Linked DNA regions of Lonchura striata. The protein of the gene in region 4 interacts with the protein of the main gene of each other region in a pairwise test. Links are inferred from orthologs where the notes say so. Each region holds a gene or a part of one and is shown on either strand. Other genes may lie near its edges. The genes, in order: CIB3, OSGIN1, FAM124B and TLE5.

Region 1 (7,922 bases), about 500 kb from region 4:
CTTCTGGGGTCAGTTCATTCCGGGTTAATTTGTTAACAGTTTTCTCTAGATCTGATTTGCATATGTAATCATCATTGTTGAAGTCTGACAAAGGAGACAAAAGTTAATTCAAAGCAACAAAAGTCAGCATTTTACATGGTTGTTTGCCAAGGCCCAATAGAGGGGTTTGGTTCCCAGGCTGTGATGGATTTTTATCAGTAGAATTCTCAAATCAGAAGTGAAGTTACCTCTATCTATTTGTAAAAGAAATCAATTACAAAATAAAAATCTCTTAATTTCTTCTTTTCATTCAAAGGGTAACAACTGTAAGTAGTTTAATGGCTAAACATAATAGCCTAGGAGTCATTGAATCATTCCAGCAAAATTGTGTTGGTTTGAAATATTGTCTTTAGCTGATAATAAAGAAAGTAACTGTAAATACACATCTAAAAAAAAAATCTTTACATTTGTCCTTGGAGTAAAAAAGCCTGCAGTTTGCTTCCCTGCCTCCCCCTCCCAAATCCACCCTACAGATTCATGGGCAGCCAAATCCCCTGTGCTGTACTTTTCCAAGCAGCCCCTCAGACAGAATTATTTCTTAATGATTATCAGCTTTTGAAAACTGCAGGTTATTTCAAGTTGTAAATTTGGTAGTAAATCTTAATACCAAATAAATTAGAGACAAAAGTATAAAGAAAACCAGAAGTTTTTAGAGAAGGGAGAAAAACATTCAAGTGGAATTAAAAGAAATGGTAACTAGAAATCTCTGTGCTGACAAAGTGAGGATTTTGCAGCCATACATTAAGCTGCAGGACTTCCCCACTTACCTTTTATGCATGTCTCACTCACCATAAATTTTAAAAGCATAATAAGCTTTCAAGTCTCGTGGAGCCATTTCACTTAGCACAGAAAACATGTCCAGAAAATCATCCAAAGTCATATTGCCATCACCGTGCTCTGAGAACACCTCTGCTATCCGCTGGCGGAATGGGTTGTCCTGGGAAACAGCACAGGAGCAAGGGAAGGTCATCCTTACTTGTGGCAAACACATTTCTCTCCCTCTCAGGATATTTCATAGAGGTGCACAGAGAGAAATTAAAGAGAAAAAAATTTATATTTCTGCTCCTTGTTTTTCCTATTTGGAATGTGTTTGGAGAATTGTTTGCTTGATTGGATTCTGGTGAGGATTGCTTGAGCCTGGTGGCCAATCCAACCCACCTGGGGCTGGACTCTCAGAGAGAGTCACAAGTTGTGTGAGAGTTAGAGTCAGAGAAAGTAGTATGTAGTTTTAGTATAGTATATTAATGTATTTTAGCATAGTTATAATAAAGAAATAATTCAGCCTTCTGAATTGAGTCAGACATTGTCATTTATTCCCACTGGGTTCGCCTGCATTTACAATACTTACTAACATTGATTTCAGTGCAGGCAAGGCAAGTGGAGTGAGATTATTTTTGTTGAAACACCTTTTTGGCAATTTCTCCCTTTTCTGCCTTTAAATTCTTGTCTAATGCTGTATCAGAAGCACACACCGCCACACCCTATTTAACCTTTGTGTTGTTTCAGCGTGTTTTCTGGGAATTACTAGAAGCTTCCAGAAAGACTTTTTACTTTGATAGCCCAAATTTATTTTATGGCAGCCTCCCAGCAATTAGTCCTGGATGAATTATTCAAGAAGGGTAGATGAAGCTGAAATGTGTCACTCGAGTCGTGTGCTGGGTACCTTGAGCTCTGGCATGCTGCCGATGAGCTCGTAGGGGAGTGTCACGGCGGGTCTGTCCGAGTAGTCAAGGGGAACGAGCTGTGGGGCCAGATCTCGGTACCTGTGAAACAACCTGAGACAGAGAGAAAAGCGTGTTGGCTCTTTGGATTTCTGAGAACAAGGTGGTTTGCTTTTCCACCTCGTTTTGCACTCTTTGCATCCATTACCAGATGGAGATCGGTCACTAAGTAACAGTATGTTTTTGTTGGAACAACTGTTATTAGAACAAGCAACATCATGTAACTGGTGAAAAATACAGAGCTTCATTATAGAACTGTTAGGTGAAAATGCTTACACAGGACATGCAGCCAAACCCCTGTGAGAGGAGAATAAGTTCATGTTTTCAGAGAGGACTCTCAGTCCCATCCGATCCTGCCTTTATCAGATCCTTTGGCCAGAGATCAAACAGGGAGTTCAGTGAGGCTCGGCAAAAACATGTCTTGGAGCAGCAGTGTAATCATTTACAAGAAAACATGAAGAAAACTTGACACAATCATTAAAGTTTTCATAAACCAGCAAAGTATTCCAGAGAATAACAGCACACTTTGAAGCATCTGTCGGAAAACCACGTGAAAAAAATATGGATGTCGCTGCCACTAAGATGTAATTAATTGTATTTATTTCTAATAAACAGAGGGACTAGTACGTTAATACAAAATTTAGAATTCTGACTCAGTTAAGGATAGGGTTTGTAAATTTAAAAAAAGCCAACAAAAATGTTCAGATTGCCCCAAAGTATCACTTTAAATTTTAGTAAATCCATTTAAAAATTATTTTTTAAATACCTTACTCCATATGTAACCTGCCTTTACAGCAATCTCTGCCCTTTATTCACAACATGCATACAGAAGACTCACCTGAGAATTTCTTTCCTTGTGAAAAATGTGCAGTCCTATGAAGTAAGAAAAGGTATAACACAAAATGACAGTTTTTAGCATGCATCGACCCAAACTTTTCCCATGCAGTGACTTAAATGAATTTATACTATAGTGTACATGTAAGCATTTAAAAATTCTTAATGGCATACATTTAGGCATATTTTATAATCTTTCCTTTTGATATAAAAAACAAACTATGTTACTAAAATCTTTGCTGCAATTCAGTATGTCTACTTATTAATTTTTAAAAGATGATGTTTTTAAAAACCCAACAATACCTTTGCCATTATTCAATGCCCTGTCCAAAGAGCCATTTAGTTTGCTTTATACCTGATATGCATCCAGTTGCTCCTGAGTGAAAATGGTTTGCTTGTTGCCCATTTTGAGCAGGGAATACTGACTCCTGTCAGTTCTTTCCTCAAAGGCACCTTTATAGGTCCTCTGGATATTCAGTTATTAAAAGCTGCAACAATGAGGCTCAGGTACAGCAGAGGATCAGGTAACCAACTTGTACAGGCTGCAAAGTATCATAATAGGAGCATTTCATCAAATCTTTAGTCTAGCTGCTTGAGGCTCTTATCCAGCAGCATTCACCCGTCTCCTGTGTGCACCACGAAGACTCGGGTTACAGGATTTAGCCAAATAAGTAATAGCTGCTCATTAGTGCCCTTCAGTTGCAAGAAGACCCAGTGGACCCTGCTTTTTCATGCCTTCAGATATGGTGAATAAACTGAAAAGTGTTAGCAGCATTTTCCTCCTTTAAAATTTAACACCAAATGATGGAAATTTGGTAGCCCCTCCTCCTTTCCTTCTCATATTTTATAGGGTCAGAATTATAAAAGCCCTTGGAAAAGCCCTTTTAGATCATTAATGCAGCACTGCCAAGATCACCAATATTCCATGTCCTCAGGTGCCACATCCACATGTTTTTTTGAACACTTCCAGGGATGGTGACTTCACCACTGTCCTGGGCAGCCTGTGCCAGTATTTTCCTTTAATGCACATTGTTAAAATACACTAATGCTGGTGGTAGCTTGTACTGGAGGTAGTAACCATAAATTCCGCTCACTCCCTTCCTTCTGCATCATCTGCTGACGTATCTTACTACTAATTAATGGTGATTAGCATGACATCCATCCATACTGATTCATACACGGCCTTTGCACTGAAAAGATGTGTGAGTGTATAGTTCATACCTGTGAACAGAAATGTGATGCTATGAAAGATGAAAAACAAGGGGAAAAAAGGAGGAACTGGAACAGGCTGCTTTTTCATGGAGCTGTAAAGTTTCTATTTCTGGGTCACTGGTTCCCTCTGACTGGTGGAAGATCTCTTCCTGGGGCAGGCTTGCTCCTCAGGGTATCTTCCCATAGCAAAAACGATCTGGAATGGTTCTGTTCAGAGTGCAACAAGAAGTGTGGGGAGGGATGGGGCTGGTCCCTCCTGGTGTAGCCTAGATCTCCAGGTGTTCTCCTCAAGGCAATTCCATCCTGTTGTCCTCAAAATCAGATTTATTATGTGATGTGCAACAAGCCAATAATTACACAGTTGAGAGAGATATTATTTGCACAAGCCTGGATGCTTGGTGGGTTTCCACAAATCCAACACACCCCACTGGACTTTCCACGCCATTATTTACAGAAGTTCATCGTCTTTTTCCAAGGTCAGCCTCTCTATTAAGATTATTTAGTAATTTCCATACAAGTTAGACAATCCCCAGCTAACTTCTCCACATGCAATGGGGAAGGGTCTGCACCTGGGCAAGGTCTTTTTGACCCTTAGGCATGATCTTAAGTATTATAATGAAGATAGTTCAGCTAGTTCAGCTGTAGGATATACAGACCTTGAATCCTTTGCCAAATTATCAATGTATACACACACATACATCAACATTTTGATTTACTACATCCCTAAAGCTTGTTAATTCCCATATGTTGTTGACTAAGGGCTGCTAGCTGCTGTCTTCCCATTCATTACATCTCCTTTCTTGCTGAATAGGTTTGAAAGTATAGAAAGAGTTTACATCAAAAAAAAATTCTATTTTTAAATAATCTTGATATATTCCATATTTTGCAAGTCCTGCTTCGGTTCCCCTCACAGAGATACCCCCGGACTGGGCTCACTGCCCGCTCCCCTCACGGAGGTACTAAGGCGGCTCAATGTCCGCTTCGGTTCCCCTCACGGAGGGGCGGGCGGGGCTCGTTACCGGTTCCCCTCACGGAGGTGCTAAGGCAGCTCATGGCAGTCCCGGTTCCCCTCACGGAGAAACCGTGCAGGGGTCGTCCCCGGTCCCCCTCACGAAGATGCAAGGCAGCTCATGGCAGTCCCGGTTCCCCTCACGGAGAAGCCGGGCGGGCTCGTTCCCGGCTCCCCTCACGGAGAGGCCGGTCCCCTCACGAAGATGCAAGGCGGCTTTATGGCCGTCCCGGTTCCCCTCACTGAGAGGCCGGTCCCCTCACGGAGGTGCAAGGCACCTCATGGCCGCTTCGGTTCCCCTCACGGACGGGCCGGTTCCCTCACGGAGAAGCCGGGCGGGGCTCGTTCCCGATTCCCCTCACGGAGAAGGCGGGCGGGCTCGTTCCCGGTTCCCCTCACGGAGAAGCCGGGCGGGCTCGTTCCCGGTCCCCCTCACGGAGAAGCCGGGCGGGCTCGTTCCCGGTTTCCCTCACGGAGAAGCCGGGCGGGCTCGTTCCCGGTCCCCTCACGGAGAAGCCGGGCGGGGCTCGCGCGCGGCTCCCGGCGCCGGCCGTGCCGTTGCGGCGGTGCCGGCAGGGGGCGCGGGCGCGGCCGTTCCGCCATGGCGGACTACGAGGCAGTGCAGCGCGGTCCGCTGCGGCTGAAGGGCAGCGGCGGGGCCCTGGGGGCCGGCAAGCGGTGAGGGGGGAGCCGGGGGGAACCGGGGGAGAACGGGGAGCGGTGAGGAGGGGTCGGGAGAACCGTGAGCGAGGAGGGGACACACAGCGCCGGGGCTGAGCTCTGACCGGGCGCTTCCCGCAGGAAGAAGAAGAAGGCGAAAGACAAGGCCCAGATGCTGGAGCAGATCGTGAGCAGCAAGAAGCAGGAGGAGGAGAAGAAGCGCGGGCTGGACAAGCGGACCCCGGCGCAGGTGGCCTACGAGAAGATGCAGGAGAAGCGGGTAAGGGTTTAAAAGCCGCTGTCACCCCTGGGGTGCGGCCGCTGAGGGGGCTGCGAGTGCCGGGAGTAACCGGCCTTAATGTGTCTCCTACAGCAAATGGAACGGATCCTGAAGAAAGCGTCGAAAACCCACAAGCAGCGAGTGGAGGTGAGCAAAACCATCCCGAGTCCATCAGGCCAGCGTGTTTTGTTGGGCTGAAGGAACTGTTCCGCCTTGTGAAACACAAGCCGGGACGCAGGGGGGGCTTGTGGTTCAACTTGGTGATGTCAGCACCCTGTTTTCTTTCTCTTTGCCTCCCCCAGGACTTCAACAGGCACTTGGATACTCTGACTGAGCATTACGACATTCCCAAAGTCAGCTGGACTAAATGACCGGGCTGCTTTTCACGGCTCTGGAGCTGGAGTTGTGTTTTGTTTGTATCAAGCAGGGTTGCCATGTAAATCTGTCTTTTCTCTATATTGTCTAATACATCTTCTGAGCTTTTATGACTTCATACTGTCTTATTTTATAGACTTGTTATTTAAAACCAATCATCCAGCAATGTCTCCTGTGGGCTGAGGAGCTCTGGTTTACATCGATGGAGAGGGCTGTTTTTTTTTAGTGTTTATAGTGAGATTAAGGCCAGAACGAATTGCTGTGAGCCAGATGGAAAACATTCCTTTTATTTTGTTAGTTCTAACAGTACTCCTTTTTTCAAGTGGAGTCTGACAGTCTCATTAAGTTTCTCTTGTAAGTTATGTGAATTGTATAATTACTTTCTATCAAGTTCTGTCAGAGGCCATGTTGCAAAACATGAAATATGTAAAATTGTTTTAGGAAAGGATATTCTTTGGTATTTGATCTTTGTATACTTTCAAGCCTAACCAGCAAGAAGGGAGGTTTAATCCATAAAATAGAGAGCAGCCAACAAGCTCTGAGTGATGTCCAAGTTTTGATAGCTGGATTTCTGGGATCCCACCGAGCATCGAGGCTTGTGCAGCTCTGAAATAAATAATCAGCGTGTCTCTCGAGTGTGTAATTGTGGCAAACAGTTATCATTTCTATCTTGAGTATCAACAGTATCATTTCTGTCTTCCAGAGGGGTCTGCTGCAAGTTGTAAATTCGATGTAATTTATTAAAACGCTGCTTCCACCCCTTTTTTGGGATGGAATGAAATGGGGCGTGTGGAGTTTGATTGTTACCCCCTCTGAGGGATGTATCACGATGTCGGAACTCCCAAACCGGGATGTTCTTAACCCGAATTACGCTCTCCGTGTGTCCGTGCCCAGCTCAGCCCGCGGACCGGCGCGCCGGGACTATTTAACGGCGCTGCCGCGGTGTCCTTCCGCCGCGCCGGCGTCACTTCCTGCGGAAGCGGAAGCGGCAGCGGCGGGCGGGACGGGCCCGGCCGGGGCGATGTCGGCCAGCGCCGTCTATGTGCTGGACCTGAAGGGGAAGGTGAGGCCCGGCGCGGAGCTGCGGGTTCCGCTGCCTTGGGACGGCTGCGGGGCCGCGTTCCGCTCCCCGGGCTGCCGGCCCCCGCTTAGCCCAGCGGGGACGGGGGAGTTGTGGCCTGCAGCCCCTCGCCGGTAAACGGGGACAGGGAGTTGTGGGCAGCCCCTCGCCGGTAAACGGGGACAGGGAGTTGTGGGCAGCCCCTCGCCGGTAGAGATGTTGGGTGAGGCGGCATCCCCGGGGTGATTAATCTCTGTGTTAGCGTTCAGGAGCACACATCATCGCGGGATATGATTATGTGCAGGTGCTTTTATTGAGAGCTTTGGGAATCAGGGGTACAGACCCAAATTGACTCCGACATGGCTTTCGAGCTGAACGTATTTTATATTATTATCGTTATATAACTTACATAAAAACTGGGGATGGGAATGGGGATTGGAAATTTGGAATGGAAAACTGAAACTGGGAGTGGGAAACTGGGAATGGAAAATTAGGAATGGAAATCTGGGAGTGGGCATGAGAATGGGGATGGAAAACTGGGAATGGAAAACTGACAATGGGGATGGGAACTTATTAAATTTATATTGTTCTATTGTATACATTGACAAGAGTTTCTCGTGATCTTCCTTAGGCCCCCTGACCACAGTTTCTCATGATTATTCTTACAATTAAACAGTAATTAATTACTAAGCAATCATCACATCTAACAATTATATCATTTATCATGTACTA
Region 2 (6,939 bases), on a different chromosome or scaffold from region 4:
ACTAAAAGAATCTAACTAAACAATGACTGACTGTAGAAGCTAAAGGCTGTATCTTCAAATGATGCAGCACTCATGTAAATATTTTGTATATTTAAAAATGATGCAGAATTCATGTAAATATTTTTAATATATTGACATTTAGATAAGAGGAAAATTCCCAACCAGTTTCATGTGCAGTTTAATCTTTGACTAGGTCATGGATGCTGTTTGTTTGACATGAAAGTGTGTGTGTTTACTTTTCCCCAAAACATCGATGCTGAGCTCATGATGGAACTGAGGGCAGAGCACATGAGCTGAGCTTTCCTCTGCCTGTGGCATTTGGGAATGAAGAATCTGCAGAGATCCACTCCTGGGAAACATGCATGCTGTAGTCCCTGGAGCCTAAGGACTGGACCTCTTTGCATCCTACTAATTTCTGAAAGGAAACACATGTACTGGGAAGTAAAAAGCACCCTAGATCTGGCTATCATCCAGCCATCTGGGCCATTTTCTGAGGAAATGCCTGCACAGCCACTTGGCACTCCACTACTTCTCTACGTGGGTACTTCACATGTAAACTATTCCTGCAAAATATGCACTGTTGTCTCCACAAGTGTACTGGGAATGTCTCTTTCAGGGAGTGCTTACAGGGACTCTCTTGACCACTGCCAGCACTCTCCATACTTGCTCCCTAAGCCTGGACAGACAGGAGGTGTGGAATGTCCCAGTGAGGCACTGGCACTGGGGCACACACTGTGCTGTGCACAGGTCCTTGCTGCAGAGCAGCCAAGGGCATGACTGAATGCAGACAGTAAATCTTCACAGCCCTCCTGGGCAGTGTGATGGATTCTCACCTCCCCAAGCTTATTTCTTAACAGCTGTTTTTAAGACAAAGTGGTGGAAGTGGCTGATGCCCCTGGCCAGTGAAGGGTGGTGAAATTCTTTGGTTTCATCTCATTGCCTTAGGAAGACAACCCTCTTTGAACAGACAGGGAGTGATTTCAAGGTAATGAATTGAAAGCAGGGAAAAGCAAAAATCACTGTCTTACATTAGGTCCAGCAAAATGTAAGGTTTTGCTTTTTACTTTTCTCAAACAATTTAGCAAGTTACTAAGACAAAACTGTTTCAGTCATTTATGTGACTGGGAGGTCAATGTTCCTGTGAACAACAAAAGGGTGCAGTGAACCTTTACTTCTCTTCCTTTGGACCCAGCTGCCTAAACAGTGCAAAAAGAGGTATGAACACATAAGAGATATGGCCTTGGCAGGGACATGGGAAAGTTGGGATATGTGGTCTGGGCCAAATCTTTCTTTAGAGGAAGCCATGTGAAAGCACAAACACATGTAGGAAGTCACAAGTTTAACTGAGAGCAGAACTGGGTCTCATACTTCTAGAGTTGCCTAAGCTGCTTTTTCTGTCTGACCTAGCAATTGTCTGGGATTTTTTTTACCTCTGTCATTCAGCAGAGAAAGTCACATATCTCAGACATCCAACTGCTCTCAGGAGTGGTATGGCCACAACTTGCTGCTTCTGACTGGGGGATGCCCCAGCATTTACAAGGAACATCTTGCTGATGTGGTCTGGGTTGTGGAATTGGTGACAAATGTAGGTTTTCTTAGCTGAAGCAAAAAAACCCCAGGTAAACTGTTACAGTATTGATGTCAAACCATTTATTATCATTACATATGTGGGTCCTAGCTGTGGTATCTAAGTTAACATATAACTCTAAGTGTAAGCTTTTCTGGGTGATAAAGATGGAGATGCTTTAGGCAGCAAGAAAGTGAAGCTGGGTTTTAGGCTCTGCACAAAGACCATATGGAACCAAAATACTTGATCAGATTTTCCAACACTTGATTTTGTATTTTGTCTTAGATTAAATTATGTGCATTCTGTGTGTGAGTGAATGAAGAGAAGACTTAATATTCTCTTAGGCAGAATTTTAGATTTCTGTTTTACCATAATTGAGAGAAACACCAAAGCATCAAAGCACTACTGTGGCCCACGGAGGATCACACTGGGAGTGTTCCTCTCATTATGAAAAACCAACAGAACATGAAGTTCTAATGAATGAAACAATGTAGTTTGTCAGGATAATTTAGCACAGTCTGGTACACCTTAAAGCTGGCTAGAGGGAAGGGTGGATGCTGGAGAGGTGCTGTAGGAAAGGTTCTGCCATGAGCTGTCAGCAGCAATGAATTCTGACACCAGAGCTTAAGCTCCCCCAAATCAGGAGACAGCAGAATCAGGGCTATCTGACAGATTTCATAAGTAGGAGATGGACAGGTAGAACTTACATAACCTGAGGTAAAAAGTCAAAAAGTTACAAGGAAGTGTCTTTCTAAGGACATAGGAGTTGGTTCAGGTGCAAAGTATTCCCCAGTACAATGTTATGGCTTTGTCCTTAAATCTGTGCACCAGCAAAATTGCTTTGTCACTTCAGGAAAAAAATAGAAGTGAATTGCATTAGTTTGTAGGTCAAGGGCTGACTGCAAGGCCAACTACAGATTGCTCAATTACTTCTTCTTCTGGAAAGTTTATCCAAAGTGTTGGGCTCAGTCATTTGTGCGGTCAAGGTACACAAAGAGAAACAGTTCCTTTGACAAGTGCCTGTTCTGTGTGATGTGTTTCTTGGGATATCAATAAAAAAGAAGTCCCCAAATTGCTATGTTAAATGTTCTTATTGTACAAGCAAATAAAGGGCAGTGGGTTATTGTACATGAACGTTTTCCTGTAAAGGATTGTACTGTGCACAAAACTATGATGGAGCTTGTGGTTTTGGAAAGCCACCCTGGCTTTATTTGCAAAGGTAATACAGATTCTAGTTTTGTAAATTCTAGTAGGAAATGGACAGGATATCCTATCTTTTACAGAGAGGGCAACTTTATTTCTGCAGATTTGCACACATAGGAAGTATTCCTTATTTTTCTTAGTACAAAGCCAGCCAAAGCATTATACATGGTTTTGTCTTGTATCTATGGTATCAGCAAGTATGGACTTGAACATCTTTGTTCTACAATGTTTGACATGCAAGACTGCAATATATTGAAGACAGATTTGAAAAACCTAGTAACAGGGCAGTCTTAAACCACCTAAACAAACAAATGCCTTATTTTCTCTGAAAGCTTAATTTTTCCATGGCTGACATGGACACATTGGTTACATGCCAATAAATATCTGAATAATGCATATAAAAGTCTTTGCTGTCAAAAAATCTGTATGAGTTATTTAAGAGCCCTGTGCAAATGCTGCCTTGGATAAAGGCCCAGGAAATTTGAAAGAGTCCTTACCCCTCTCCCCACTCCCCCACTTCAGTCTGACAGTATTTACTGAGTCAGATTTTTCAAAGGATTGACTGGTGACTAAACTTTTAGTGAAACGATTGCTTCACATTTATTAAAACAACTTATTCTGGTGGAGTTAAAACAGAGTTTTATATTAAGTATTCTGCTCTGATAGGAGTCATAAGAGCAGAGAAATCCTTCTCATGAAATGCTTTTATCTTTTAGATCACATGAATGAAAGTATGCATTTTAACTGTGTATCAGCAGTCTGATTTCCTGGAAATTGTGGTTTCCAAACAGATGGCCTCAGAGATAAAAATGAGCTTCATTTACTGCTTGAACTGAACACTTTGGGAAAAAGGTATTTCATTTGTGAAGGGCATTTTAAATTTAGCAAGCCAGATCAATTACTGTATTGAGTAAGATACCTTGGATGAAACCCCTGGTGGGTTCTGAGTTTTATGCAAGCAGTTTGACTCATTTTACTGCTATTGTGCAAAAGGCTTAAAACACTTTATCTCACTGAAGAAAAAGAAATACAAACTGAAATCAATCTTTTCAGACCCACTACACATCTGTGATGTCCTGAGGGTTAAAAATGGAAATATTTGTTCAGTGCAGAGCTTGTGACAGGCTTCCTGTAAGCTGCTTTTGCTATAGTCACATTAGTCAGCTGAACATTACTAAGGAAGTTTCTCTACATTCATTCAAGAGCCGGGAAGAGAAATATTCCTGCTGACTCATGCTTATTGGTATTTTCCTTGCTCCACCTCCAGTCATTTTGGCTCCTCCTCTCCTCTCTTGCTGCTAGTTGCCTACTATATTTAAACAGCTGTTTTAGAGCAGCGAGAGGATTCCAGGCTTGTAGTTTGGTTTGCTCTCCTGACTGTACAGTCACCCATAAAGATCCCACCTCCCATCAGACCTGCTGCTAAAGGTAAGAAGGCTCCAAGTAAGTACAGAGAGCTCTGTCTGGTGTACCCTAACATCAGTTTCTGAGCACCACAGGGGTGTTTTTAGAACGGTGTTATTACATACCACAAAGCTGAATTTTTTCCACATAGTTTAATTGTGTTTGGGGAGGTAACTGGCCTGACATGTAAGAGTGATGGTGCAAGGAGAGAACAGCTTCTGAAACTTGTAGGGAAGTATAACATGTAAAAGCTGTCAAGATCTCTGCTTTTTTTAAAAAAAGCACTAATTGATTAAATATTAAACTAGTGAAACAAGTGAGTGGATGAGGAAATTAAGCTGAAGAAAACTATTGTTGCATCTCTGTTGTAATTGTTCTTTAAAACTGAGTGTTGTGGTACCTCTTTTAATCTCCCCCAGTGTTAATACCCGAGCTGCACTGCTCTCTTGAGCTCTCCCCATGTGCTGTTCTGGCCACACTTGGTGATTCTTACTTCAGCAAAACCTCACAGGCAGAGCTATCTGCACGTGGCTGATGTAACCTGGCTTTTTATTTCTCCAAGGCTCACAGAGTGTCCTTGTCTTGCTAAATGTATCTTTGCTTTTTCATTTGCTCATTTAAAACCTGTTTCAGGCTTACAGGCTGGAACTAGTAAGAGCCACCCTGACCGAGTTTGTGAGTTATAGTCCCTCTAGACACGAGGCTGTGTCAGGAAGGTATGCAGAGTTTGGCCCAGAGTGAGCTGGGAGCTTTTCAGCCAGAAACAATTATGTAACATCACACAGACACTGGAATGCTTTGGAAGCAGCAAGAAGCCAAGTTGTGAAACTTGCATTCTCTCAAATGAGGAGAAGGAAAGGGACATTCATTTAAAGTAGGAAGCTCAAAGCAGGAGCCAAACTCAGTGTCACTAAGCTGAGTAAGTGTGAGTGCCCAGCAACCTACACTACATAAAAGGAGGGTGAGAAGAGCAGTCTTAAGTTTCTTGCTGTCTCAGGCTTTTTTCCTGGTGCCAACTAGTTCAGTATAGATTGACAATGAACTTCAATGTCCTATAGCTTTCCAATGGCCTCTGCAGGAACAGGATTTCCTCTGCTACACTGTATGAGCTGCTCAGGTTTTGAGGTATTGGAGTCTAAAGCTGAAAAAAAAAAAAAAAGAAAAAAAAATTAAAATAATCCATCTTAATGCCTAATGGCAGGAAAGGTGAATGTTTGGCCTGAAACTAAAATGCCTGAGATGCTCTGAGCTCTGAATTTTACCCCCAAAAGTCAAACCTTTAGCCTACAGGATGGGAATAGCTATAAGCAGGTTCAGCACCTGATTCACTTTCTACTTAAAAATAAAAATTAATAGCTATGAATTATAGAGATGGCAGCTATAGGATATGAAAGGGACTTCTTCCATTTGTAGAGAAATGCAAGGATGGTTAATCTTGTGTTGATAGAATTTTCAGGGTCAAGTCTTCAGGAAACAAAATGTGTAGCACTAAAATGTCATTAGGGGTTTTGTGAACCCAGGTGCTGAATAACTCCATGGTTAAAAATGGTCACATGTGTACAAATCCAGTAATTTAATCAGACTAACAACTGTGCTCCTCTAGCTGTTACAGTTTGGTTTGATTGCAGAAAATGCTCCTTTTTCATGTGTGAGAAGGGGCAGAAAGGAGGGGGAGGGTGGCAGAGGGAGTTATCAGTGAGCGTGCGGCGCTGCTCTGTGCTTTATCAGGGTGAGAGGGGTGGCACGCTGCAGTGGCCAGGAGCCAAGGCAACCTTCCTCTAAAGTAAACAGCACTGCCAGCCTGTCTTCTCCTGGCTTGTGCCTTTTTTGTCCCCTTCAGAGTCCCCTAGAAAAATGCTGGCACCCAGCACTGACGCTGTGCTCACGCCTTACAGACAGGCTCGCAGGCTCCTTGTGTGAGCGCTGGCCCTGCTGCCCTGCAGCTGCTGCCATGGGCTCTGCTGGGCTGCTTCAGCAAAAATCCTGCAGATGTGCATGCAGTTTTCCCATGCATGCTGCTGCAGGGAGCTGGGGAGCAGAAACCTGGAAGATTGCTTCCAGAGATCTTGCTTTCCTCTTCCAGGCTCCCAGTAGTTTCAGAGAAATAAGATGTGTACTCTGTGTTAAGAAAAATTAATAAGCACTTCTCTTCTTGTGTAATACAGTTGTGGAGAGGGGGTTATTTGTTATCATGGAGAAGAAACTGCTGCTGACCTGCAGGCAGATACTGCAGTTCACTGGTTTCACTGCTCACACCAGTGTCCTGTTCCTTTGGTGTCTCTGGCAGTCCCAGCTGCTGGTGCTGAATCCTATTCATTGCAGCTCTGGAGATTTGTGGGAAGGGATTATTTGGGGGTAAACTTAGACCACAGACTGCTGAAGGTGGTGCAGGTTTTGGTTAATGTGGCAGAACCTACCCAAAAGGCTAAGGAGATCCTTAGGTGGTTGGGCTGTGGCTCCCTCAGTCTCCAGGGCTGTGGGGAGGCCTTAAGGGGAGTTCATCTTCTGTAGTGAATACAACTACCTTTGAGTCTCAGTTAAATTGGGAACATAAGTTTTGTTGAGATCCAGCTATCTTCAAAACTTGATGCTTCAGATTATTTAAATTAGAAAGCACAACTAAAATGTCTTTTAAGTGGTTCATGCCCTGTCAGGCAAAATGCATAAGAGTCTTAGATTAATGCTTAGTTAAGTAGTAACAGGCAACCAATAAGTGACACTAACTGTGTTCCAAAAATTTGGACAAGGCTGCTAGTTTTGAATGC
Region 3 (7,512 bases), on a different chromosome or scaffold from region 4:
TCTCTATTTTTAAAATCTTTTAAATTAAGCCAAGTTTTTCAAGGACAGCCCAGCTTTTTTACAGAAGTGCACAGACGGTAAGTGCACTCTGCCCCATTCCACTCTAAAGCCACAGATGTTTAGGCTGGTGCTTCTGGTCTTCTTGGACACAATCTGACTTTTATTTACACACACACACACACACACACACACCACCAGTTTTACCTGCAAAGAAAATCTTGCAAATGCTTGGGTCTCCAGCCAGCCTGACAGTGTGCCTGCTCTCAGCAGTTGTCTGTGCTAAAGAAAGAAGAAATTCCTGCTCAGGAGGCAAAGGCCTGTTCCACCTCCCCCAGTCCAAACTGGATGGAGAAAAGGGGCATCCACCAGAAGGTGCAACTTCAGCCCCATTTATACATAGCATTCATTTTAGCAGTCCTATTTTTGGGAAGAAAAATTCACAATAAGAACTCCTGAAGCTCTCAGAGTGATGCTACATTAGAGCCTGGTGCTGCCTTACAATGGCTTTCAAGTTCATGTGCAGATTTTCCTTTGCAAAGTTACCAGAACATGCCACAAATCCCAGTTATACCTGAGTTTCCTAGACCTCGAGAGCCACTTCTGCTAATATCTGCTGGCTGTTGGGATCTTGCTTCTTTTGAAATTCTGTTAAAGATGAGGCTAATAATCTCCTGCAGCTTGTCTGTCACAGCATTTGGTATCAACTTAATTATGCAAATGTACAATTCTAGAATAATGCAGGATCCAGGCCAAGCCTCTTTTAATTAGATGTTTGGGTGTATTATTCTGTATCTCAGGAAGGTTGTCTTCAGGAAAGGGAGTAATTAGAAGCCTTCACGGTGCGTGGGTCTGACCTGTTCCTTAGGCTGGAGCTTGGCCTCGTGTCGAGGTCACCACCTCCTGGGGACTCGTCTCATTAGCACTCGGCAGGGTGCAGTCCCGCCCGGCTCTGCCGCTGGCCTTCCAAGAATTCTGCTTTGAGTCGCCTTCAACAATGCTAAATGTAAGCTGATTAAACAAACACTTCACTGGACCATGCAAGTCTTGGGTTTGTTTAGATCTGCCTGTTTTCTTTTGCTGGAAGATTTTTAAATGAGGCGTAATGTATATAAAAATTGCTGGGTTAAATCTCTCAGAAATACATCCTTGAAGCTGGGCACTTAAATTCTCATGTAGCAGGCTGACTTCCCCCTCGTCCCACTCTGATCTCTGGAAGTGTATTGACACTGGGGACGTGGCAGAGGGATCCTGGAGATGCCATCTTGGGTCAGTGCTGGATGTTGGCTCTTCAAAGTCAAGACACCAGAGGAGTTGGGCTTGTTCAGTCTCAGGAAGGTTGAGAGGGGATCAAATCAGTGTCTATAAGGACTGAAGGGAGGGTGTCAAGAGAACGGACCAGGCTCTGCTCTGGAGTGTGAAGCAATAGGACAAGAGGCAATGGCAGAAACTGATGGCCAGGAAGTTGCACCTGAATGTAAGGAAGAACTTCTCCACTGTGCAGTGACCCAGCACTAGATCAGGTTGCCCAGAGAGGGTGTGGAGTGTCCCCTCACCAGAGATATTCCAGAACCCTCTGGACACAATCCTATGCCATGTGCTCTGGGCTGATCCTGCCTGAGCAGGGAGGTTGGACCAGATGCCCCACAGTGGTCCCTTCCCACCTGACCTATTCTGAGATCTTTGTTACCAATGCTTTGTTACAAAATACTTTTTTCTGCTATAATAGCCAAGTGGCTCATTACATTTAGTGGGTCTTGGTTTGCCTGCATGGAGTGCCTTTGGTTTGGTTGTTTTTTTTGGTTTTTTTTTTAAGTATTTTAGACAAACTGAAAACTGAGGAAAAATGGACTGGCTGAGGACACATAACCTGCCTTTGGTGAGAGATGAGTATGAAAACCAACCAAGGCCATGCAGTGCCTTTCTACAACGTATTTATTACTACTAGGAAGCTCATCTGTGTCCCAGTGCTGCTTTTAGCCTTGCCCTTGCCCCAAAGCCTGGGTCAGCTGAAGAGAACTTTGTTTTCCTCTCGTTACTGTAGTCACCGGGTGCGCAGGGAGCTGTGGTTCAGCCCCGGCTGCGGGATCCCTGTTCCCGTTCCCGGGAGCCGAGGCTCGGAGCCGCCTCTCTCCCTTCACTCTTTCCCTCCTGGAGCCCCGGAGCTCTCCCTCGTCCCGCAGCGCCCGGCCCGGGCCGGCTGCCTGCGCCCTGCCCTGCTCTCCTCTCCTTCCCTCCTCGTGTCCCTGTGCTGCCGTCCCCACTCACCGTGTGCGGCGCAGCTCTCCGCATCTCCTGCCTGCTGACGGACCCTGCCTGGATTACTACTTTCTGATAGTTGGCTAAAAAGAAGAAATAAGAATAGCTTGGGAGAGAAGTTTGCTTAAATCAATGTAGTAAGTTAGATGGAGTTTTGGTATTTTGGTCATTGGGCCTTTAGTTCCTCCAAAGTGGTGATGAATTGGAATCACAGGTTTTGAAGCCAGAGACGACCTCTGAAAAGATTTTTGTATTCAAGTAAGGCCTTAATCTTGATTTTTATCTCAGTACTGTGTGTGATGTATATAATTGTCATCTATAGCAGGTTAATTTATTAGTTTTTCCCTTGTTATAGGCAGATCTTGAGATTGGGGTAAAATAAAAAAAAATGTTTTTAAAAGAAATTAGGAAGCCTGAATCATGTATTAATGAGGCCTTCTCCCAAGGTGCTTAGGTAATACATTCTCAGTCTCTCTCAAATTAATTACGTTCTAATAATCCTTGTAAAGTACCTTCCTTACAGATGTTGCTCTAACTTATTAAATCCTGTGATGCATCATCAGTTTTGGTGGTATCAGCTGGAGCAAAGGGCTCTGAACAGTGCAGAGCACTAGGCACAGCTTAGGAACTGATTATGAAAAGGAATTTTTAATTATCCTGCTGTGTCTTTCCATGTAGAATTTTACACTTCCAGCAGACAGTATTCTCTGAGGTTTCATACCATAAAGTGTTTATTAGTTGTTTATGTTTGGACTTTTGTGCAGGGCTTACCGGTGTATGCATTAGTGCCAGTTCATATTTGTCTTGCTCTTACACACAGCTGGAGTGCCCCAGCAGCTTCCTGCATGTTCTGCTCTGTTACCAGTCACTGCCATGTGGGAATGGGGCCCCAGTTTTTTTGAGTCCCATATCAGAATTGTTCACCCCTCCTCCCCTCAGCAAAGTGACTTTTCACGTAGGATTGAACTGCTATTTTCCTAATCTCTTGAAGAAATCTTTCTTGGCACGTTCAGTAGGTCACTATGAAAAATGTGCTTTTCCATTTGGCAGGCAGACTGGGAAGCTGGGGGAAGGGGAAGCAGAGAGGAAGACAAGGACTCATTCCATTCAGGGATCAGAGTGAAATCAGCACTTTGCTTTCCTTAGAAGATCCAGCAAAAGCCAGCACTTTGTTCTGGTGCAGCCATCCCTTTTCCCCTGAGACCTGCAGTGGATGAAGCTCACCAGGCTGCAGCAGTGAGGGCCATTGCACCCAGCCTTTATCCCAAGGTTTGGGGGGCAGTAGACAGGAGATGAAAGGAGGGCATGAGGATACCCTTGTCCAAGGCTGAGGAGCCTGGTTTGAGGCCTTCCCCAAGGACATTGAGCTGTCAGAGCAAGTGAAAAGAGGAACAGGAGGGTTTGGCTGGGTAGTGGGGCTGCCCCCCTCTGAGGGAGAGGGTCAGGCAAAGGCTGAGCTTCAGCTGTTCTTGTGCTCCTTGCAGGAGGATTGGTGGGTTCTCCTGACCCAGAGCTGCTGGAGAGCTGAGAACCAGCCCCAAAATTGTTCTCCAGGCAGCTTCATCAGGTAGGGTTTCAGAGCTGAGATTGTTTCCCTGTCTCACCCCTGCAAACACAGAAGAAACACTTGGTGGAGGGTTCAGAATTTAACCCTTTTTGTGAGTAAGGCTCAGATTTTTTGGCTGTTGTAAAAACAAGAGAGGTGGTGCATACCTTCATGAGCCTCTGTGGAAGGCACTTGCCCATCTGGAAAACAATTTGGCTCCCCCAGCCACAGTGGGGGCTGGAGAGGGTTAAGGTTTCTGCATCACTCCCTAAGCAGCCCTTACTCTCCACTTGCTCTGCAAGGTTTCACATCCCCAGTCCTCTGTCACCTTCACCACAGAGCTGCAGATACCCCCTGGATTTTCTCCAGCAGATTGGAGCAGGGCTGGGGCTGAGAGCTGCCCCAGCCAGCAGTGATGGCACTGCAAGAGGAAAGCCTCCCCGTGCTGCTGCTCACTGCCCTGAGAGGGAGCAGCGTGCAGGGACAGCACTGGGGGTCCTGCCACCAGCGAGGAGGGGCAGTGGGGCAGGCACTGGGCTGTGCTGCAGCAGCAGCCCCAGGATCTTCAGCTGGGGTGGGAACAGGGGACCCTGCTCATGGGAGCTGCTTCCAGCCACAAACCAAACCCTGATGAATTTGCTGAGTTCCAGGGTTTTCCTGTCCCGGCAAACTCCCTGTTCTTCACAGGCAGGAAGGCAGATGACTGCCTGCCCCTGCCCTGTAGCAAGGAGTTGATGAATCATTTCCTTTTCCATATTTTAGTGAAATTGTGTTGTTCAGAGCTCATCTAGAGCATTTTAATGCTTTGAGCACTTGCACTCTTCACTCTCTTCCTGCAATTGTCTGAAGGCTGGATTTTGTTTTTGCATGCTTCCCAACAGCAGTTGTTACTTGCTCAAAGTGTTGCAGGTAGGTGCAAAATAATTTTTTTTCTCATTTTCTAGACTTTTTTTTTTTCATTTTTATTGTACATAGGTGTCAGTGTATACTTTAAAGCATGAATGTGAGTTTCTACCAGTGAGAGAGATCTCCCTAAAGGAAACCAAGGCACTGCTGCTTATACCTTTAGACCTCGGAGATTTTACTTAGTTGAATATAAAGTTAGGGTCATATTAAAAAAATAGTTCAGAATTTTGAATAACAGACTTACTAATGCTGGGATTTCTTAACAGTGAACCACTGCTTTGTGTGCTTAGCTGTTTGAGAAGGAAGTTGGCATGTCAGCAGAGAGAAATGTGCTGCCCTTAATTAGATGGAGCTGGACACATCACCAGAGGCCCCAGTTTTGATTTACAAACTGGCTACAGTGGGGGCAGCTCTGTATAGGAAGTGGATTTGGCTTGACCTGTATTGTGCTGCTGCTGGGCTGGCAAATAGGGAGATGAAGGGACAGTGTGATTTATTGTCCACACTAGAAGAGACCTGGAAAGGAGTGTATTTTCAGCATTCCTATTGTAGCTTATGCAGTAAGCTAAGTATCAACATGTAAACCCAAGGAGCAAGAAAAAAAATCCTTGGACTTTGATTAAGGCTGCTGTTACATGAGTATCTCAGAAAAAAAAAAATATAAAGGAGAAAAAAGCAGCAAAGGGGACACTGAAAATGGGAAGCCTAGTATCCAGCTTCTATGGGTGATGTACAATAACCCAGGACCTGGTTTCCTGGCAGTTAGGCAGCAAGTTACATGTGTTGTGAAGGGTGTAATTACGAGTTAAGGTTTTTCCCAAAGCTCCTCTTTCCTGATTTATATCTGCCCTTATTGTTATCTGTTACATTCACATGGTTGGTCTTTTTTATTTTGTAATTTTGTTTTCCTTCCTTGTTTTCAAAGAATAGCTTATCTGTGTGCCCCAGCAGGGTGGGACTCACAGAGATCACAGGCTTTTTACAATGAGCCAAAGCCAGCCTGCTGACTACAAGGAAATTTGCTTAGGGTTTCGGCCACGAGTGCCACATGGGCTTTGCAAAAGGCAGTGATTGCACTGGTGGGACTCGGCTGGAGTCCGGAGCGGCCACTTCCACTGCCAGGAGACCGGTGAGCATCGCCTCACCCTGGAAAATCGCTGCTTGTGTTCCAGTGCTGTGCATCTCCGCGGTGCTTGTGCTGTGGCCGGCAGGAGCAGCGGGTGCAGTGCTGCTCCTGCACACTTGGGTCGCAGGTAGGCAGTGACCAGAGCCCCGGAGCCGGGAGTGAGCCTGGAGCCGAGCTCCGCTGGGATGTGAGCTGGGACCGCTCTCTGCACCTGCCCCCTCTGCACCTTCGCTGTGCTTCAGCTGGTTACTGCAAAGCCTGTAGGAGCCCGAGCTCGTTCTGTTCGAGGCTGCGAATACACCCTTGTGTTCCCGAGGCAAAGAGTAAAAGGAAGGCGCCAATTCGTCTGTTTTAATCTTTTGCCTGGAGTCTTTGCAATGGATGATGGAGCAGAGTCTCTGATGACTGTGCATCTGCTCACCCATTTGGGACAGTCATTTCCTCTGCAGCAGACTCTGGACCGGCTTTTGGACTGGCTGTGCCTGGACATTCGCCTTTTCTTGGTGTCTGAGCGAATTCCTCCCCTGAAGTACTACGAGAGATACCGCAAGAGGAGCTGCAGCTTTCCCGGAATATCCGTCCTGCTTTTTCTGCACGAGGACTTGGGAGAAGAACGGATTTTCCAGGTCCACGAGCAATTCCAGCGCCCTCCCTGGCGGTACCAGCGTGCCCAGTTTGCTAACGGGCAAAGCTCCCCCTATGCCCCATCCCACCAGGACTTCTACGGCCTGGATGAGCAGCTGCCCGTGTGGGGCATCCGCCGGGTGCGCTGCGGCCCCGAAATCCTGCGGGTCACCCTCTACTGCAGCTTTGAGAACTACGAGGATGCGGTGAGGCTCTACGAGATGATCCTCCAGAAGGAAGCCACCCTGCAGAAAAGCACTCTGTGTGTCTTCGTGCTGCACGCCACCCCACACGTGGCCGTGCAGCTGTGCCTGAAGCAGCTGCCCATGGGGGTGACGGCCGAGCCCCCCGACTCGTCAGCCCTGCAGTTCAAGGTGCAGGAAATCGGGCAGCTGGTGCCCCTCCTGCCCAACCCCTGCGTTCCCATCAGTAGCACCAGGTGGCAAACTCAGGACTATGAAGGGAATACAATTCTGCTCAAGGTATGTCTGTGGTGCTCTCAAGAGGAGGGTTTATCTACTTTTTTTCCAAGGAAAGTAGGTCTGGTTCAAAATGGAAATTATGATTTTGTTTGTTCATGTTTCTTTTGAATTTGTGAATGCAGTAATCGGTGTCTGCCAGTGCTGTGATGCTGTTGATAAATATAAGCACTGATCCTTGGAATGTTTTTATACAGTTAAATTAACGTCATTACTGTTTGCCTGAAATGCAGACTATTAATGATTTCATGATTTCTAGGGCACACTAGCTTAACATCTTCCCTCCTCTGCCTCAAAAAAAATGATTGCAGCAGCCTAATCTTTTTCTGATATGACATTGCTGCATAAATGTTTTTCAAAGCATATTTTTGGCATCCAAAACCAGAAGTTTTGTAAGTGTAATGTTGATGCAGCACTGCCTGCAATTGAGGTTGTGAGATCACAAGTGAGTTTGTAGTTGGGCAAAAGTGATAAAGAGCTGTGTCCTAGGAAATCTCTGCCTTGTCTGTTGAAGTGTGCAGTCCAGAGGTTATATGAATACAAAAAAAAAAAAAAAAAAAAAAAAGACAAAGTCT
Region 4 (7,075 bases):
GCAAGCTTCCCCATTAATACACCAGGAAAGCTGTGACCTCTTCTCCTTGTCCCCAGCCCCAAGCACTCCTTGCTCCCCACAGCCTCAGAGTCTGGTCACAAGGGCAGTACAGAAAGATGAAGGGGCCAGCTAGCTCCCTTATTTCTCATTTTTTAAGTCTTAACTCTGCTCTGAAGAGCTGCTCTATTAATTTCTACATCTTATCTCTTCTTTCCAGGGCAGGTGCAGCAGCTGGCAAGCAGGAGCCAGCTCATTTTCATGGACAGTATTGCAGCCTCCCATTAACTCCATGATAGGAAAGGAAGAGACCACAGCCCTGCCTGGCAACCCTCCCCGTGCTGCAAGGGCTCCAGAGGCATTACCTGGCAGGCAAACCCTCACCCTGCTCACCAGAACATGGCTGTTTTCTTGGAAAGCCACAGCCAAGCCTGCTGCCCACACTTGGCACCATTTCTCATGCCTTTACCAAGCACTGCCCTGGGGCTTGCACACCCTGTGCTGGGACACACGTGCCAGCACTCAGCACCACGGCTAAGCGAGGCTGCGAGGTCACCACAAGGTGCACAGGGTTTAGCCCTGGCACAGAAGCTGATTTCTGCTTCTAACTCACACCTGGCTTGTGGGGTTTCCCAGTTTCATGACTTCTCAGAGCACTGCTTTGTCTCTCACTGGCCGTGACCTTCCCAGAGCCCCCAAACACCTGCACACCAGCACCCTGTATCACCTCCTCAGGTGTGTAAGAGCCGTCACTTCCTTTGGGCCAAGGACCCATCAAGCAATCCCCCACCATTTTCTACATCAAAAAACTCCCTCCCACCGTGCATTTCAACAACCCCCTGCATGCAGCCAACACAAAACAGCCCCATTTTGAGAGCAGAGCCAACTCCAGCCCTGCTGAGAGCCCTGGAGCTCTGCGGGGCGTGGGCTCCCTGCCAGGCAGAGCCCAGGCACAGGCACCTGCTGGTGTTGCCACCCACACACTCTGCTCCGGGCTGCTGGGCCGGTCCTTACCATGACGTAGTGACGCTGCATCTCCGATTTCTCGCTGGCTAGTTTGTCACATTCCAACTTCAAGCTGAAAAGCCAGAAAACAGTAAGAAAACCACAAACAGGAGGTGAGAGAGTTGATCGCCTCGGAGCAGCTGCTTCCTGCATGGCCTCATCCCGGCCAGGCTGGATTCTTGGACATCATTATCTGGACTTCAAGGGGTGGCCAGAGCAGAGCTCAGACAGGCTGTGCTGGCACAGTAGTGACCACACAGAACCTGCTCCCAATTTCTCAGCTGGAGCCCTCCCCAGCACACATTCAGGAAAAGGACACAAGGCTATCCACCAGCAGAACACTGACCTCCCTCAGGCAAATCCATTCCACAGGAAGCAGAATGCTGGGGAGAAGCAGAGTTGGCTGCCCAGGGAGGGGTTTGCCTTTCCTCAACAGATCGCTGGCAGCTGGGGACAGATTCTGGCACAGAACCTGTCTGCAGCACTCAAAAGATGTTCCACTACAACATCAAAACCAAAGCCAGACCCACTTCTGGATGGGGGCTGGGGGGGGGAGGCCCAAGTGCAGCACATCCCTCCAGAAGCAAGGATTTTTCCTCTCTCCTAGATTCTTCACACCCTTCAGAGAAAGTGCCGCTGCTCCCAGTGTTTTATGAGACTCCAACTCACCAGCCGAGCAACTGCAGCCAGAATGTGCTGTGGTTTTATGTTTCAAACAAGAAACAGCTTCACCTACACAAAACCTGCTCCTTCTTGAGCAGATTAAGTCCAAGGGGGTGGAGCGGCATGGGGGAAAAGCTTCCCTTTCAGCAGGAACCCCTACTCCCCTGATGGCACTGCCAAGGCACAGAGACACCAGGAAATGGCCACTTCCCAGCAGCTTTTCTGCCTGCTCCTGCCAAAATGACACCACCACAAACTTGTAACCTGCCCGCAGGCAGAGCCCGGGCTGGGGGACATTGCAGCCACATGGCACCAATGCACACACCAAAACCAGTGCCAGGCTGTGGCAGAGGGCATTGCCCAGACAATATAAACCGAAGGGCTTCATGTTTATGTCAGACATAAACACGCACACACACACACGCAAAGCAACAGATTGTCTCAAGCCAGCTTTTGGGTTAGCAGCACTATTTCCACACACATTCACAGAAAAGTAAAAGCATTTGGATTTAAGTGCTCCCTGCAGCATTTGCAGTCCAGGAATGGCAGCCAGCGAGAAAAATTGAGGAAAACTCCCAGCAAAAGGCAGGAGGGCTGGCAAGTGCCTGTGCAGTCCTGGCTGAGCAGCACTTGGAGGAAAGACCTTGGCTGGAGAAGGGAATGGGCGTTCTCCTCGCTGGGCTCCCATGTGGACGCGACCAGCGCCGTGCCCGAGGCGCTCCTCCAGCCAAAGGCGTCCCAAGCTCCGCGAGCGGCTCCCCTTCCCCAAATTCTCGTCCGGCCCCGGGAGCCACGCAAGGAGCAGAAGGACCGGAGCGATCCCCGCGCCCCGGCCGGGACAGCCCCGGGCGCGGGGGCAGCACGTACCTGTGGTACTGGGCCTGCAGCAGCTGGAACTCGTCCTTGATGCGGTCGCACGAGTCGGAGGTCGTGAACTTCAGCTGCTGAGGCAGGTGAGAGGAGCCCTTGAACAACAGGAGACAGCGCTGGGCCGGAGCCGGCGCCCGCCGGGCCCGCCCGCCCCGAGCCCGCCCCGGGGCCCGAGCCCCGCCGGGGGCAGCGCCCAAGGTCACCGGGGGCCCCTCGCCCGGGAGCCGCCCCGCGGCACCGGGAGGCGCTCGATCCCCTCGCCCCCGCGGGGCCGGGGGAGGCCGGGCAGCCCCCGCGGCCCCGCCGGCGCCCGGCCCCGCCCCGCGGCCGCTCCGGCCCCGGGCCGCGCCGTACCGAGTGCCGGCTTTGTGGAAACATCATGTCAGGTTGCGGCTCGGTCCCCGCACGGAGCGGCCCGCTGCCACCGGCTGCCCGCGCCGCCGCCGCCTTTGTCCGCGCCGGGTCCGGCCGCCCCGGCCCCGCGGCCGCCCCGCCCCGGCCGCGCCGCTCGCCCCGCGCCGCTCCCGCCGCCGGCGCCTATTGTCTAATGGCGGCTGCGGCTCCGGCTCCGTCCTGCGGCTGCTCGGCACCACCTGCCGCCGCCGCCGCCTCCCCGGCCCGGGCGGGCCCACGGCCGCGCCCGCCCCCGCCGGTCCCCGCCCCCGCCGCGCGGCGCCGCCGGGCCGGGCCGGGCCGGGCCGCGCTCGGTGCCGCCCTCGGTGCCGCGCTCCCTCGGCGGGGCCCGGGGGATGCTCGGTGCCCTCCCCGCGCTCGGGACGGGCCTTGCCCCGCCGGCCGGGCTGCCCGGCCCTCCCCGCAGCCCCCCGGTGCCGCGGCCCACCGAGAGTCCCTGCCCGTGCCCCGGCCCCGCCGGGAGTCCCTGCCCGTGTCCCGGCCCACCGAGAGTCCCTGCCCGTGCCCCGGCCCCACCGGGAGTCCCTGCCCGTGCCCCGGCCCCGCCGGGAGTCCCTGCCCGTGCCCCGACCCACCGGGAGTCCCTGCCCGTGCCCCGACCCACCGGGAGTCCCTGCCCGTGCCCCCGACCCACCGAGAGTCCCTGCCCGTGCCCCGGCCCCACCGGGAGTCCCTGCCCGTGCCCCGGCCCGCCGAGAGTCCCTGCCCGTGCCCCCGGACCCACCGGGAGTCCCTGCCCGTGCCCCCGGCCCACCGAGAGTCCCTGCCCGTGCCCCCAGCCCACCGGGAGTCCCTGCCCGTGCCCCGGCCCACCGAGAGTCCCTGCCCGTGCCCCGGCCCCACCGGGAGTCCCTGCCCGTGCCCCGGCCCCGCCGGGAGTCCCTGCCCGTGCCCCGACCCACCGAGAGTCCCTGCCCGTGCCCCCGGCCCACCGAGAGTCCCTGCCCGTGCCCCGGCCCCACCGGGAGTCCCTGCCCGTGCCCCGGCCCACCGAGAGTCCCTGCCCGTGCCCGGACTCACCGGGAGTCCCTGCCCGTGCCCCGGCCCCGCCGAGCCCCCGGCCCGGCCCAGGGTCCGGAGCCCCGGAGCGGCCCTTGGTGGGCAGTGAAGCTCCTCGCCCTTCGCAGCTCATTTTCACGCCCTTCCCCAAGCAGAACAGGCTATTTTTATTTATTTTTTTTTTAACCCAGAGTTTCGTTTTGCTTTATTTCAGTGTTGCCCTTGGCTGAGCCTGAGGGAAGGGAAAGGAAAAAGGTAGTTCACCTACAACTGGCCACCAGAGAAAGCTCTGATCTCCAAGCAATGGGATGTGTTCTGCTCTGGATGCAAACTTTGGTCCTAAACCTGCTGCCTGAAGAGGAGACCCTGCAGTTGGTGTCCTGCAGGATCGATTGCATCCCCCCAGAGAGCAGTGGGGTGGGGAATTCAGCCACAGACTTTATTTCTGGAAGGACTTTGTTGCCATGGGGCCTCTTGCAAAGCTGCACACACAAATGTGCCCGTGCTGAGGCAGGATCAAGTCCTTGGAAGCCATTCGGAGAATAGCAGGCAGGAACACGGTACATGTGAGCACACAGAGAGCTTTAATAAATTTTGGATGTTGCTCCATGTCTATCTTTAAAAATCAGTACATTTTCTGATTAAAAATAAAACCCGACATGTCATGACTCCAGCAATGTGGGCTGGCCTGTTGTGGTATTTATTTTTAAAAAGAACAATATAGCAGATGAGTTATTGTGACACCTCCTGCATATTGTGCAGTAGCTTTTTCACTTCAACATCTCCATATTAGTGGAAACTGTGACAGCTTCATGCCAAGGATTATTAATAGTGCAGGCAGGCTTCGTGTCCCTGCAGAATAAGGGTTGGAAAACAGGGCAGACAGTCTGCCCCCAGTGGGGTTGGCATCCTGGTCCCCCTTTTTACGTGGAGAGAAACTGAGTCACCCCAGCTTGAGCTGTGCTCAAGGGCAGAGAAATGCAGTTTATGGTCAGTGTGTGCGTGCAGCCACACCAGGTCCCTGTTGTCCCCTTCCCCTGGTCCTGGAGCAGCACAGGCACCCTGCCCTACACTCGCAACAGCTTGCAGTCACTCCCTTCCAAGTGGGAAATGAAATGCTCCTTTATTGGCATTTCTGTTGGCTACAAAATGTTCCATTTTATCTTTTTTTTTTTTTTTTTCCCTCTCTCCTTACATTCTTCCAGGAAACACTCTAATTTATGGTATAATCTTGGCAAATCCCAGTCCAGGGGAACACAAACTCACTTGTGCCTGGTAAATGACTTTTTAATGGGCTCGTTTCCAGCCAGGCAATGCACCTGCATCTGAAGAAGAGGGGATTTTAGCCTGGCCCAGGCTGAGTCAGGGGCTGGGTATGGTCTGGGAGCAGAGGAGGTGGCCCCAAACACAGCCTGGTGAGCAGTGGGGGTTCCCACAGCCCACCTCAGACCCAGCTTGAGAAATGAAGGTTTTTCCAGCACAGGAAAGGGAGTTCTGTGTAGGAGCTCTCCAAGTGAACCAATATTTTTGTCTGCTGCAAAGCTGTTTGAAGGTAATGTGGGGAAGCCCCCCACTCCCTCAACATCTTGGCCAGGAATAAAAACATGCTGGATTCTTGCTACAACCAGGACTGGCTCGGGGTTGGGCATGCAGGTGGGTTTCCAGAAAGCCATGAGGGACAGAGAGGGCAGAAGCATTTTGTATTTCTAATGGCGCAAGAAACTGTCCCAGTCTCTGGCCCCACTGGAACAATTCATACAGGGATGTCCTAATGAAACCTAGAGAAACTTCCTATTAGTTCCTAAAAGGAGCAGTCTAACAAAGCTGCCAAAAATAAATCTGTGTAATGAAGAGCCTTTGTAAATTATTCAGATATTATATCCCACTCCAGCACTGGTTCAAGGAGAGAGGTTGTACAGACATTTTCTGCTCTGAAGCTCTGGACACAAGGTGAAAGCCATGCTGTCATCATTATGAAAATGAAGGCCCTGAGATCCTGCTTTTACCCTGAGAATACTCTCTCTTTTCCCTGGATTAAAGAGGAAGAAATAAAGAAGGCACAGCAGCAATTCAGGCACTGAGACAAGGAAGGTTTTTTCCATTTTTGCACAGCCTCAGGGTCTCTTTTGAGTGCCATCACCTCAAGCTGCCCACACCCACAGGTGCTTTGCAGGAGTCTGAGCAATTTGGGGCACAGCTCTGGAGTGGCAGGGACAGGACCTCACTGGGTGTGGGGTGGCTCAGCCAGCTCCTCACTTGTGCTTTCAACCCTGTGGCCTCCTTCCAGTAGAAACAGGGCTGAGACCCACCAAACTCATTCAACTTCAGCTGCCCTTGATACCCCACCTGCCAAGAAACCCCAGGCCCTTCCTGGGCTGCAATCCCCCGCTGCTGCCCTGTATTCAGACAGCTGTGAGGCGTTCTGTAAGGGCCAGTGCTGGCAGCTTGTTGGCTATTAGCCACAGCCAGCCCCATGCCACTCTGCTGGGGCTCACTGAGTTCTCCCCTTCCTGCCTCCCTGCTTCCCCAGCCCCTCTTTGCCAGCAGCAGGGCTGGTTCCTGGGGGTTTTTTTTGGGTTTTTTTTTTGTTTTGCCCAGCCCTGCTGCCACACTGACAGCTCTGTCAGGTCTGGGCCACCTGGGATGGGATGGGGAGGCCAGGACTGGTGGTGGAGGTCAGGCACCGGACCTTGGCCCTCTGCCACATCCAGGCCAGACTGCCCCTTATCATCCCTCCTATCACAGAGATTATTGGCTTTTGATATTAAACTTTCTCCAGATAGCATAACACCATCAGCCAGACACCAGGCAAGGGCTGGGCAGGCCAAGCAGTGATTTACACACGACCTGCCTCTCAAGTCCCTCTTTCACAGAAGGGGCTGTTTTCCTTCTCTCCTTCACCACCTCCCAACTCTCCTGCTGCTGTTAGGAGCTGTGCAGGTCTCCCTGCTGCAGCAAAAGGTTGGAATGAGCAGTGGGGCTGCACAGGCTCCCAGGGAGCCAGAAGTGCAGCACTCCTCCCCAGAAACATGGCATTGGCAGGGCACAAATTCTTCCATCACCACCCAACCCCAACTGCTGCAGCCCCTGGGACACCCAGGTGCCCCGATGGGATGCAGCAGTTCCA

What was found.
Region 1: the proteins of TLE5 (region 4) and CIB3 interact in binary tests that used the Homo sapiens proteins (3 or more experiments, as listed by UniProt). The two-hybrid records come from large-scale screens. The link is inferred for Lonchura striata from reciprocal best matches to the Homo sapiens genes TLE5 and CIB3.
Region 2: the proteins of TLE5 (region 4) and OSGIN1 interact in binary tests that used the Homo sapiens proteins (3 or more experiments, as listed by UniProt). The two-hybrid records come from large-scale screens. The link is inferred for Lonchura striata from reciprocal best matches to the Homo sapiens genes TLE5 and OSGIN1.
Region 3: the proteins of TLE5 (region 4) and FAM124B interact in binary tests that used the Homo sapiens proteins (3 or more experiments, as listed by UniProt). The two-hybrid records come from large-scale screens. The link is inferred for Lonchura striata from reciprocal best matches to the Homo sapiens genes TLE5 and FAM124B.

Annotation. Positions count from the first base shown.
Region 1 is NC_134630.1:4,655,246-4,663,167, reverse strand, and holds the start of CIB3 (calcium and integrin-binding family member 3), read right to left. Parts: upstream 3,001-7,922; coding exon 2,950-3,000; intron 2,634-2,949; coding exon 2,599-2,633; intron 1,815-2,598; coding exon 1,703-1,814; intron 977-1,702; coding exon 829-976; intron 85-828; coding exon 1-84. Other genes in the region: protein FAM32A, read left to right, coding at 5,417-5,493, 5,617-5,755, 5,849-5,902, 6,058-6,126; AP1M1 (AP-1 complex subunit mu-1), read left to right, coding at 7,152-7,193. UniProt on the Homo sapiens protein: Acts a an auxiliary subunit of the sensory mechanoelectrical transduction (MET) channel in hair cells. Plays a role in regulating hair cell MET channel localization and function.
Region 2 is NC_134615.1:15,007,189-15,014,127, forward strand, and holds the start of OSGIN1 (oxidative stress-induced growth inhibitor 1), read left to right. Parts: upstream 1-3,931; 5' UTR 3,932-4,198; exon of another isoform or gene 4,199-4,213; intron 4,214-6,939. UniProt on the Homo sapiens protein: Monooxygenase catalytic activity. Involved in regulation of cytokinesis; promotes RHOA activity, probably acting locally at the midbody in late cytokinesis.
Region 3 is NC_134612.1:9,560,427-9,567,938, reverse strand, and holds the start of FAM124B (protein FAM124B), read left to right. Parts: upstream 1-4,502; 5' UTR 4,503-4,711; intron 4,712-5,633; 5' UTR 5,634-6,211; coding exon 6,212-6,940; intron 6,941-7,512.
Region 4 is NC_134630.1:4,158,635-4,165,709, reverse strand, and holds the start of TLE5 (TLE family member 5), read right to left. Parts: upstream 3,010-7,075; 5' UTR 2,917-3,009; coding exon 2,890-2,916; intron 2,631-2,889; coding exon 2,533-2,630; intron 1,076-2,532; coding exon 1,012-1,075; intron 1-1,011. UniProt on the Homo sapiens protein: Transcriptional corepressor. Acts as a dominant repressor towards other family members. Inhibits NF-kappa-B-regulated gene expression. May be required for the initiation and maintenance of the differentiated state.